Cricetulus griseus: one gene and its partners. The protein of the gene in region 2 binds, or shares a complex with, the protein of the main gene of each other region. Links are inferred from orthologs where the notes say so. Each region holds a gene or a part of one and is shown on either strand. Other genes may lie near its edges. The genes, in order: Wrap53, Tert and H/ACA ribonucleoprotein complex subunit 1.

What was found.
Region 1: Tert (region 2) and Wrap53 share a complex: the UniProt entries of both Homo sapiens proteins name them as parts of the telomerase holoenzyme complex. The link is inferred for Cricetulus griseus from reciprocal best matches to the Homo sapiens genes TERT and WRAP53.
Region 3: Tert (region 2) and H/ACA ribonucleoprotein complex subunit 1 share a complex: the UniProt entries of both Homo sapiens proteins name them as parts of the telomerase holoenzyme complex. The link is inferred for Cricetulus griseus from reciprocal best matches to the Homo sapiens genes TERT and GAR1.

What each region holds. Positions count from the first base shown.
Region 1 is NC_048600.1:83,418,849-83,423,080, forward strand, and holds the start of Wrap53 (telomerase Cajal body protein 1), read right to left. Parts: upstream 2,802-4,232; 5' UTR 2,745-2,801; coding exon 2,671-2,744; intron 1,446-2,670; coding exon 1,050-1,445; intron 928-1,049; coding exon 829-927; intron 72-828; coding exon 1-71. UniProt on the Homo sapiens protein: RNA chaperone that plays a key role in telomere maintenance and RNA localization to Cajal bodies. Specifically recognizes and binds the Cajal body box (CAB box) present in both small Cajal body RNAs (scaRNAs) and telomerase RNA template component (TERC).
Region 2 is NC_048595.1:368,311,075-368,314,577, reverse strand, and holds part of Tert (telomerase reverse transcriptase), read right to left. Parts: intron 2,241-3,503; coding exon 2,139-2,240; intron 1,418-2,138; coding exon 1,332-1,417; intron 1-1,331. UniProt on the Homo sapiens protein: Telomerase is a ribonucleoprotein enzyme essential for the replication of chromosome termini in most eukaryotes. Active in progenitor and cancer cells. Inactive, or very low activity, in normal somatic cells.
Region 3 is NW_023276806.1:29,074,883-29,079,136, reverse strand, and holds the start of H/ACA ribonucleoprotein complex subunit 1, read right to left. Parts: upstream 2,804-4,254; 5' UTR 2,661-2,803; intron 2,441-2,660; exon of another isoform or gene 2,438-2,440; 5' UTR 2,426-2,437; coding exon 2,209-2,425; intron 1,770-2,208; coding exon 1,615-1,769; intron 1,165-1,614; coding exon 1,105-1,164; intron 1-1,104. UniProt on the Homo sapiens protein: Required for ribosome biogenesis and telomere maintenance. Part of the H/ACA small nucleolar ribonucleoprotein (H/ACA snoRNP) complex, which catalyzes pseudouridylation of rRNA.

The DNA of each region.
Region 1 (4,232 bases), on a different chromosome or scaffold from region 2:
CTGGGGGCAGGTTGTAAATCCGCAGAGTGTTATCAGCACTATTGGTCAAGATACAGGAACCATCAGGAGCCCTAAAAACATAGGGAAATTAGAAAACTGAACAGACCTATGATTTCCAGGTGTAGGTCTAGAACTATCTTAGTACATATGCCCTTGAGAAGACACCAATCAGTCCTAGGTAAAACTTCAGCTCATGCGGAGAGTGGTGGCACACAGCTACTGAGAGACTGAGGCAGAGGACCTCAAGTTCCAGGCCAGTCTGGACAACTTGGCAGGGCCGTATCTCAAAACAAAGCAAAAAAAAAAAAAAAAGTCTAGGATGTAGCCTACTGGTGAGGGTCAGGCGAGCATGATGGACACCCTAGGCTAAATCCACAGTACTAGAAATGGAAGGAAAGATCGACAGGACAATGAAAAGAAAAAACCCTTAACCTGGGTACTAACCAGTATTCTTATTCCTTAACCACCTCCAGATAAGTATGTTTGTTTGTGTTTTTGTTTTTTGTTTTTTTTTTTTTTTCTGAGACAGGGTTTTCTGTGTAGCCCTGGCTACACAGAACTCGCTCTGTAGACCAGGCTGGCCTCTGAACTCAGAGATCCTCCTGCCTCTCTGCCGAGTGGCATGTGCCACCACCACCCAGACTAGTTTTTGTTCTTATTTTAAGACAGGGTCTCTCACTCTATGGACAAGGCAGACCTCCAACCCCCAATCCTCCCTGTTTCCAAGATGTTGAGATTACAGGGCTGTCCAACTACGACGGGTCAAATACGGGTGGGCTTTAAGATGAAAACCCTGAAGGTGGTCATCTCCCTGCCCGTTGTACTTACCACTTACAACCTTTTAAGAAGTTCTCAGAGTGGGTGCTGAACTCGGACCAGGAACCGCTGAGGTATCGGGGTACCTGTGAAAAGCTGTAGGTCCAAAAGCTAGAAAAGAGATGGAGAACAACAAACGGGTAAGTTACAGCAAAATGGGCCTGGGGCGGAGCTGAGGACTGGAGGCTGTCGTTTTCCTATGTCCAGGCTCCTCGGACTCCAGAGTCACTTACGTGTCTCCCTCATCCACTTGACCGGGTTCTTCAGACACATCTTCCACGGCTTCTCCTGACTCCAACTCAGGCCGATTCGTTTCTGTCACAGGAAGGCTCGCATTTTCAGAAAGTTCTTGCTCCTCGATTCGAGGGCTCGACTCACCGGGAGTATTAAACCCTACTTCCAGGGGAGCGGAGGGAGGAACTAGATCCCCTTGTTGCGGATCCTGGAACACAACCGAGCCAGCCACAGAATCTGTGGCTACCTGGGGTCGGTCATCTCCACCGCATGGCGGTGGCACCGGTTCAGAGTCTGTATTTTCATCCACAGGGGTCCCTTGGGGCACTGGAGCTGGGGCCTGGTCAGAAGAGAGACTGTCCGGGACTAAGAGTCGCTCCTCCGACGTCTTCATTCTGTAGAGCAAGCTAGGAGGTCAGGGGCCGGGCAAGCCTCGTTGCACCGGCTGCCAGCTGCTGAGGCCACACTGCATTAAAGTCCCCAGGAATCCGGGTGCAGAACTGCACAGCCCCAACGTGCCTGCCTTACTCTTCCGGGAAGAGTAAGCCGAAGCCAGCAACAGTGAGCAAACACCGGGAAACCAAAGCAGAGAGCAAAGCACCTGGGGTCGCTACGCGCCGCCAGCGCTTCTTGCTCTCGCGGGAGTCGGGCCACCTTCCAATTGGTTCTCTGCATCCTAATTAGCGTCTGAGCGGTGAGGCGGGAAGGAACGAGGGGGCCCAGCCCTCAAGCGCTAGAGAATTCTTAGAGGATTCTGGGAGTTGTAGTCTTCTCTTTGACTTGGAGAAGAGTACACGCGTTCCCCCTACCGTCCGCTGGGGTGATTCTTAAGGTACCTTCCCTCCATGACCTGCAGAGGGCGCTGAATTTCTACAGTTTTGCCCTTCTTGAATCTCGTTTTGAGTCGGGCAACCTCAAAAGATTTCCTTTCTCCCTCTCTCCCTCTTCTCCCACTCTCCCTCCCTTCATTCTCCCATCCTGTCCATCCCACCTCCCTTCCTTCCCCCCTCCCTCCCTTCTTCCTTTCAACATTTATTATCACGCTCTTACTTCCTACCCAGCAGCATACGAGGAACTAGAGAAAACAATTTGCAAATTCTCTATGCCCATAAAATTGTCGTGGCTGTGCAATTGAAGGCTGTGAAAACACTCTCCACAGATAGTGATAAGGACTGTACAGGAAATTAAACAAGATGGTGTGATATGAAGTATCTTGGAGAACACGTTAGATTGAGATATTAAGAAAAGCCTTTCTAAAGTGACATTTTAGCTGGTGAGAAAAAAAAAAAAAAAAAAAAACCGCTGCCCGCGTTGGCTCATCCCTATACGTGGGAGGCTAAAGCAGTTGGGCTGCCGCGAGTTCGAGGCCAGCCTGGCTATAAAGACACTGTTTCAAAAAGCCAAAAAGAAGACGACTCCAACTATACAGCTAGATCGGAAAGAGCAGTGTTCAGCGCTCTTCCGAAGCGGTTTCCACCAGTTTTGCCCTCACAGCTCCGTCTTAGAGTACTTCTCACAAAGCGATCGAATGGATGGCAACAACGCAGAAAGAATCCCGGCTGTGTAACTGCCCCTCCCCTCCGCTTCTTGCCCTCCACCCACAGAATGGCTTGCCCTTACTTGTCATGGCGACTATCCAGCTTTGTGCCAGCAGTCTCGCGAGGAATGCTGGGATAGGGACTTTCCCCTCCCATGTGCTCCTGAAAAGTTTTGTGCTGGAGTCTACCATCCTGGCTGCAGGTAGCTATTGGGATCAGGGGGTCCCTGGCATCCGGGTCCGGAATCTACTTCCCAGCGGGGTAACACGCTCCCCCCTGAAGACCTGGTAAGTTACCGGGTGAGCCTGATGAGTCCTCTCTGAGTCACCGGCTCTCGGTTCGCATAATTGGAGGCTAGAGAGAATCGCGGGGTTTGGGGGGTGGGGCAGTGGGGGACTCAGCAGGTTGGGCGAGGTGGGGTGAATGGAAACTTGGCGGGCGAGATGACCATGAATACAATCTTGAGCATGATGTAGATGAATGTAGATGGTGGGGATGCTAGGACCAAGCAGCCGAACACCTGAGAAGAAGTACATAGAGAATTTGGGGACCACTGAGCCGGCGCTTTTCTCCCCGCCACACACTTATCGACTAGCTGCTGGGTGGTGGAAGCCCCAGGAATAACATGCACAAAGCACTGTGATGTGAGATCTTTCAAGATTCACAGCTTAAGACTTTAGAGCCCCTAGCATCCTAATGAAATCTCGGGCTCCATTCCTTAATTAAATCGGGGTGATCCGGGAAGTCCTGCTGTTAAGGTCTCCAACTTCCGGACCTTTGTTCCTGGAGTGATTTTTTTTTTCCAGCCCCACCCCAACCCTGCTAGTCGAAGAAAGTCCAAAGAAAAACTGTCAGTCTCGCTAGTGAGAAGTGTTTGCATTTGTGGCCCGAACTAATTGTCTGGATCTGAAAGGCCCGCCGACCCTGTTATTGTTTGCATTTCTGCCGCTTGCAGGAGCATTTCCGGTTTTTCCGGAGCAGCTCATCGATCACTCGACCAGAGGGGAGTAGGAATGGGAAAAAAAAATGTATTCCTGGCTGGTGCTTGAGGAAGGGAAACTGCCACCCTCGATCATCGCATTTTCCTGGATTACTTCGTTATTACTTTTGCAGAGGAGGAGGTGTTTATTTAATAGAGTGTGGGAATAGGTCGTTTGTTCGTGCCGGAAAAACAAATTACCGAGTATCCGGTCTTGGGGTGAGCCATTCCCTTGCTGAACGCATTCCTCACGTCCTGAGAGCGGAAGGGGCGGGCCTTGGCCAGGGGCGCCCAGAGGTCCTAAGTGCAGTCGGCCAGTACAGGACGATTCTTATAATGGCAAGGCTGCCACGATATACATATTGCCTGCTACTGCATCTTCAGTCTGAAGAGCAGGTCATTGTATTGCAGTTTCTTGTTGAGCACCAGAAATTGTGCATGTCTTTTTCTTTTCTTTTTTGTAAAAGTACTATTTCCACACAGCACTTGGGAAGGGGAATAAATTTCTTTCCCTCTGAAGGTTTAGTGATTTTAGTCTAAAGAATAAGTGAACAATAGATAGGAAATTTTCTTTTCGTGGCTTCAGGTAAACTCACAGGAAGACTAGAAATTCAGGTTTACAGAGAAATGTACAAATGACTACCCTTAAAGTTTTAGACTGGAAG
Region 2 (3,503 bases):
CACTGACTCCAGGTTGTTTTTTTTTTATTTAAAATTTTTAGATTTTAAACATTAATGATAAGCAATCAGGCTCTTGAACTGAATATTTATCTGGGACAATTAGTAACAGATTATTAGTGGAAGGACATTCTGGGTCATAGCCATGTAAAATTGTCAGTGCCTTCTTCACAGAGAACCTAATGGCACCCTTCAATCAAACATACATGGGTGGGTGCCAGCAGGGGTGGGTGCCGGCAGGGGTGGGTACCTTCAGATGGTCAGGCAGGGAACTTACCCAGGGAACCCGTGTGTGAGAAAGAGTAGGTATGAGCTGACCCCTTGCACAGACTCAGTCCCCTTGGCTAGAGTATCTGTTAGGAAGCTCTCCAGGCATGGTGTACACAGACCTGACTTCTCAGTGTATCTGGCTGACCCACACTAGGACTAAGTTATCTACCACATGGACACAGACTCACAAATCTGTGCTCAGTATTATCAGGACTCAGGAGCACCCTTTGTGGTGTTTGTGAAAAAAACACCCAGTTGCATGCTTGTAGCTTGTGGTTTCCCAGCATGCATATCAAACATTTCCAATTACAGCCCAACACATACTGTGACTTTTGATAGTCAGATATTTCTTGTCCTGCCTGCCCTCATCTCTAATAATCCTGGGTGTGAGCCTGGAATTCTGTTCTGTATTGGCACTCATTGTGTAGGCTCCTATCAGTCCAGCAAAAAGGTGCCAAGTGCATTCCATTCTCTAAGTGGGGACTTTGGGTACAGAAGATGCAACCAAATGCTCAAATATTCAACCTCACATCTGATCCAGACATACAAAGTAGGTCTTTGCAGGCTGATGGGCTGTTAGACAGCTCTAGCACTGAGCCAGTCTGGGTTCCCTTCACTACAGCAGTGCTTTTCAAAGGGTACCTGCTCTGGCTTATAACTCATGGGAGTCTCTGGGGGACTCAGCCATAGGCACTGCACTCTCTTTGTTGATGTGTCTCATGTGTCTACATGTGTCTCATGCCTGGCTAAACAGGTGAGGTGCCCCTGCCACTTTGTCAAAGTAACAACAGGAACTCGAGGCATACAAAATTATTAACTTCATTAGGACCATGCTTAGTCAGGAACTCCCAGGGCCTCATGGGTAGGCAGCCCCGTGGCCCAGTCAGCAGAAGGGCAAGAAAATTCTATGAAGGGGAGTGGGGAGGAAGCAATGAGGCAGAGGGAGCCAGTCAGATAGGCTTCTAAGTGCTGTAGCCAGTTAGCAAGCACCCTGCTCAGCAGTCAGGATGGTCTCTATCTGTACCTGCCCAGCCTCTGCCCACTTGCCCTACGCCTGTGCCTACCTGCCACCGATCTTCACAACACTGTTATGCACAAAGTGCAGGAAGAAGTCAAACAGGCTGCTGCTGGCCTCACTCAGAGATAAGCTCTAGAAAAGCAGACACATGTGGACAGATGAGTGGGAGGATGCAGAACTCTGCCACCAGATGACCCTGTAAGACCAAAATGTTCATGGTAAAGTAGGGGTGGGGCCAGGGTCAAGTGTCCCTGCATGGCCAGGAAGAAATTGACTCAAGGTGACAGGGTATGTAACTTACAAAGTGGCAATGTAACCTATTATATTTCTACAGCACTAGGTTGGGGAACTTGGAGCTCACACAGCACCCCACTGAGCTAAAGGAAAACCATCCAAAGGTCTCAGTGAGCATGGCTGCCCCAAAGTCAGGATATGTACAAAGGAAGTTCTGTAGAACCACTGATTTGTGGGAGGAGATCTCCTAGGTGTGGCATAGGTAAACTGAATGGGCCAAGATGGGGACCACAGATCAAGTCCAATTTGCCCACTAAAATAAAACTATGGTCTCAAGGTCAAAACTGAGGGAGAAGATATTTTTACCAGTTCACTAGTAGATCAGTGGAGTATGGGGGACGAGGGTATAAAGGGCACTTCAGAGCATGCCCACCTTAGTAGCTATTGGGGAGTCTAGGTCATGTCATAGGGATGGGGACTGCCACCAGGAAAGAGTGGCCTTGGTCATGGGAACTCTCCACCAAGGAATACCTTGGTCACATTCCTACACTGAAGCAAATAGCCAAGTAGAGGAGGAAGGCCCCACCAGGTGCGGCCGATTAATGGGGAGCCCAAGGACCTGCTCAATGACAACGGAGTTCCTCAGCGCACTGGTATCTGAGTCCTGAAGATGCCTCACGAACTGGCCCATGTGTGGCTGGAGGTCAGAGAGGGTGGAGACCTGCAGCACAGAAGAGGTAAACACTTGAGGGGAACCAGAGGGGCACATGGTTTTCTGGCCAGGACTGCCACAGCACAGTTCAACAATAGAACAGTGTGGGACCACTCCATCCTAGAGTCTTAACAGGAAAAGGGAGAATCTAGCACCCTAGCAGGAAGAGCCACAGAAACAGCAGGTTGCACCACAGTCAGCTCTCCTTGGGTCAGACACCCCCATAATGCTGTGGTTACCGATGGTCACAACACAAGTAGCATCCCAACTTCTCCACAGAGACAGCGGCAGTCAGGAGGAAGAGCTGACAGGATTAGGGAGGGGATGGCTCCTTCATCTCCTGCAACAGACTCTTTAGGATGCCTGCTTTTTATCCAGTGGCCACCAAGATCCATGTCTCTAGACACGATGTCACCAGAAGGAATACAGCACCATCTACTGACAGCACAGGAACAATTCCTAGCATGCTAGGTGTAAGACGTCCAGACGTGTGAACACTGGGGTCTCTGAGTAATGCTGGCTGTCCTCAAACTTGCAATACTTCTGTTTCATGCTCTCATATGTGGAGACTGCACACTGGCTTTGAACCTTATAATTTCCCATGTTAGGCTGCGTGTATGAATATGGTCAAAATGCATTATACTTGTGCATAAAGATGTCATAACAAAACCCATTATTATGTACAATTAACATATAGTAGTAGCACAAAAAAACCCCAAAAACCCATGTGCCAAGTTGGTTTGCTATAGTACTAGGAGTAAAGTCACCCAGAGAAATTAAAGTACAAGAATTAACCTAGAAAAGAATAGCAATATGACCTGAGCAAGAGGGAGCTCACAGACCCCAGTCTGACAGCTGGGGAACCAGCATAGGACTGAACCAGATCCCCTGAATGTGGGTGTCAGTTCGGAGGTCTGGGCTGTCTATGAGGCAGCTGGCAGTGGAACCAGTATTTATCCCTAGTGCACAAATGGACTTTGGGAACCCATTCCTTATGGAGGGATATTCTCTCAGCCTAGATACACCGGGGGGGTGGGGTAGGGGGGCCTAGGTCCTGCCCCAAATGATGTTACAGACTCTAATGAACCCCCATGGGAGGCCTCACCATCCCTGGGGAGTGGGTGGGGGTGGGATGAGGAGTTGGTGGGGGGAGGGAGAGGGAACCGGGATTGGTATGTAAAATAAGATTGTTTTTAATTTAAATAAAAATTTATTAATAAAGAAAAAAATAGCAATATAAATAGAAAATGCCTGCATTTTCAAAATAATGAA
Region 3 (4,254 bases), on a different chromosome or scaffold from region 2:
TGTTAACACTAAAACCTAATTTCTTTCTCATGACTTAGGAAGCTCCTTCCTACCACACCAGTCCTTTAATTCAGAACCTTCCCTGTCCTAAACGCTTCTGCAGGCTGCCATCCTGATACTTCAGTTTTCTCTATGAACACACTCCCTGCTCTCTGGCTAGCCCAATGCTTAAATACTGCCTAACTACATCAAAATTTTCCAGCCTTCTTTCCTGAAACTGCATTGAAGGTGCTACTACTTAAGAGTAACTGAGCTGGGTATTGATGGTACACGCCTTTAATCCCAGCACTTGGGAGGCAGAGGCAGGCGGATCTCTGTGAGTTCCAGGCCAACCTGGTCTCCAGAGAGAGTGCCAGGATAGGCTCCAAAGCTACACAGAGAAACCCTGTCTCGAAAAACAAAAAGAGTCAAATTTGTAAGGGGACCCAAAAGGATGTCACCTTAAGAGCTATCCTCAGGTATCTGTGATGTAAGACTCTTTCCTGGTTAACTTTTAGCTTTCAGTTTCAAAAGCAGCACTTCAAAGAAGGCTAGGATGAAATTTGGTCCCACTCTAGTTTCAGGTCAACCTTTTACTGTTTTAAACAGATTATACCATGTTAACACAATACCTGTGAAATCCTTTAGTGTCTTATCTACAGCTGTGAATTATCTGTTTTTGAGACAGATTTATTAGTATTTATCTCAGGATGGCCTGGAATTCAATTTGTGGCATAAGTTAGACTCAAAGCAGCTATCCTCCTGCCTCTCTGCCTCCAAGTGCTGGGACTATTGGCTTACATCACCAACTCTTGCCAAAAACATTACTTTTCAAGACTCTTATGCTTAGACTGAGTGTGACAGCACATACCTGTAATCCCAGCACCCAGGAAACAGGCAAGTTAAAAGACAACCAAGTCTCAACAAGTGAGTTCCAGTTCACCTGGGGCTACAGCACTGAGACACCTGGAGAAAGGAAACTCAATGCTTGTCTGTGAACTACACGTCAGCTTCAGAACTTTGCTACAACACAGTGGAGGGGCAGTAAGGGCCTCAAGTAAGACTATCTGTAAGACACAACATTCTCTTCTGAGTCTAAGAACTTTAATTGTAATTTTGACTCACCTTTTGAAGCTTTTTAAAGGAAGATGCCTTCATGTTTTCTGACAACTTAACTGAAAAATACTATTAATTACATTAAGGAACAAGTGAGAAAGATGTAAAAAGGTATTAAACTTTTGAGTTTAAGCATTTTAAAAAGAATGCCTGGCTATAAAAGTAAGAAATTTCCAAGAGGAGATTATATTTTCTTTAGAAAAACACAATCTGTATCCCCCAAGTCTACCAGGATATTCCAGTAAAGCAACAGCAGAGCCAATACAATCCTGTGGCATGTATACAAATGGCCACCATTCCCAGAACTTTCCAAAAGGACAGTGATCTCCCCTTGGTTCATCACTTCTAAATGTGCATGAATGCATTCTCTCCTACAGATTCTCTTTATGGCCTGTCTGGAGCATTGCTATCTACTAAATGAAGCAGTAAGTTTGCTTCACCTGATATTTAAATGGCTGGGGAGGGGAGGGAAAATAATTCTTCAATGAGATCACTGGCTCATCCCATTAGAAAGGATACAAAATCTCTCAGTTGTCCAAATATCTCATCTACTTTCCCGATCTGTTCTTTGTTTTCTAAATAAACAGGAGCGTTGAAGTAAGGCACCTTATTCTCCTCTGTGGTACATTTACAAACGATGTCATCTTCACAGGGATGCATGAACTCTCCTAATACTGAAACAGCACAAGAAAATAGACATGGAATCATTAAGATACTGATCAACTGTGCTGGAAGCATTCTTGACCACTTGGTCGTTCCCACTATCTGATTTCCAAGGTAGAGCTTAGTTATCAACACTGTGGTACTACGTTAGCACGCCATTACTGTGGAACCTAGAAGAGACCTCCCTTCTCTCTATACCCTGTACATGAAGCTAGTCACATGTAACTGCAGCCATACCTAATACATGCGTAACCAGACAGACCAAGTAATTAGAACAGTGCCTGGCGCCAGTTACCCTGCTATGACTTTTTACAATTTCATTAAACATTATATTTCCCTGACTAGTCTTCCTTTTCCCCAGCCTATAAACTTGAATCAGTCTGTTTTTTGATCATTTCCTACAGACTCCACTCCCACTGCAAAGGAGACTAAGCTCTGAAGGCCACTTACAGACGACACGTTCCGGAGGCCCTTGATCTTGGAATTTATTAAAACCTCCACGTCCGCCCCCTCGTCCAAATCCTCCTCGGCCGCCGCCCCTGAAATTGCCGCCGCCGCCGCCGCCTCCCCCTCGGAAGTGGTTATTGCTGCCGCCGCCACGGTTGAAGCCGCCGCCGCCGCCGCCGCCGCGACTGAAGCCTCCGCGGCCTCCGCCTCGGAAAGACATGTTGTGTGCGGCCTGGTGAAAAAGAAGGCCCGCTCCTGGTCACTGCGGCCTCGGAGCATCCATCCGTCCCCTGGGGCTCACCCAGGCCACCGAAGGGAGGGCAGCACTGCCGCTGCCCTGCCGCTCGCCACACAGCCAGCGAGGGGCGCCGAGACCCGGCTGTCCGCGGCCCAGCGCCGCCGCCGCCACATCCCGGCCGCCGCCTCCCCACACCCTCGGCCCGCGCCGCACTCACCGCGCCACGTGCGTCTCTAGCCCAGCGAGCCGCGAGCGCCCGCCAACACTTCCGGCGCGCTCAGACCTCCTCGGCCACCGTACCGGCACAGGCTTACCCGACCAGAAACGCGGAGGGCTGGCCGGCGGGAAGAGCCTGTCACTGGCCGACGCAGCGGCCCTGATGCTTTCCCTAACACGGGGTAGAGCACCGGAAGAGAAACAATCCCGTCCAGCGTAATCCTGCCCAGAACCGCACAGGCCGGGGTAGCGGAAGTGACGCAAAATAGCAGTGCCCTCCGTACGCGACGTTTCCGGAAGTGTGGTAGCGCGTTGCCCTTGGAGACAGCGGGAGTCTGGATCCTTCCGTCCTAATAGCTGGTGAGGCTTTCTGACCCCCAGACGTGCTGGCTTGGCTGCGAGAAGGTCCCGACCTGACTCAGCTCCACAGATCTGGGGTGGCCGCCTCTCAGGTAGAACCTGGGACCGCCAACTGTGTGTCCTTTGCAGTTTCTTGCCCCTCCCCCAAAACTATGTAACTCTGTATGCTATATTGTTTTTTGTCATGTTATTATTAAAATAAGGAGAAAGGGAAGGAGGGAGGGAGAGAGAGAGACAGACAGAGAGAGAGGGGGGGAGGGAGAGAGAGAGAGAGAGAGAGAGAGAGAGAGAGAGAGAGAGAGAGAGAGAGAGAGAGAGAGAGAGAGAACCATCTTTTAATATTTAGTCCCAGGTAACACGTTTGGAACACCGACAGACTGGGTACCAGCCTATAGACGCACCTCACCTTCCGTCTTCTTGACCCTCTTATTAAGACTCTGATATCGGTTTCCCCACATCACGAAAACATAATAAAGGAAGTGAACTCTAGCTATTAAATTTGACTGACTTATCTTATATCCAAATTGCCTGGAACATCTCTTGACAATACCACCTTTGCTGTGAAATTTCGAAGGCAAAGGTTGATCCCCATAGCAAAGAGTTATTGTGAATAAAATTTTGAAAGATCTTTGATAGAAACATTAGGAATTCAAGTATGTCATTTACCCTGAACTATAAACTTCTTGAAGTACATACTAGCCCCACATATAAAAAGAATTTGGCAAATGTATTTTAAATGCAGCTGGATATTATGTATGTATGTGTATGTATGTATGTATGTATGTATGTAGGTACATCATGGGAGGCTAGAGTTATTTGTATCTTTCATTTTGACATTGTCATCTAACATTAAGTTCAATGTTTGTATCTGCATTTGATGTCCCACTGTTGTCTCCAACTCAATATGACAAAACCATTTAACTTGTACAAGACCTTCAGGAACACCTGGCAGCTGACCATTTTATATATAAGTAAGGAACTGACAGCCAGAAGAGAGAAGAAACTTCCCTAGCTTGTGAAGGGGGAAACTAAAACCTCAATTTCTCACGAGTCCATTCTTTTCCCTCTCCCTTCTTTTTTTAATAATTTATTTTTATTTTATGTGCATTGGTGTTTTGCCTGCATGTATGTCTGTGTGAGGGTGTCAGGTCCCCTAGAATTGGAGTTACAGACAGTTGTGAGGTACCATATGGATGCTGGGAATTGAACCTAGGGGCTCTGGAAAAGTAGTCAAT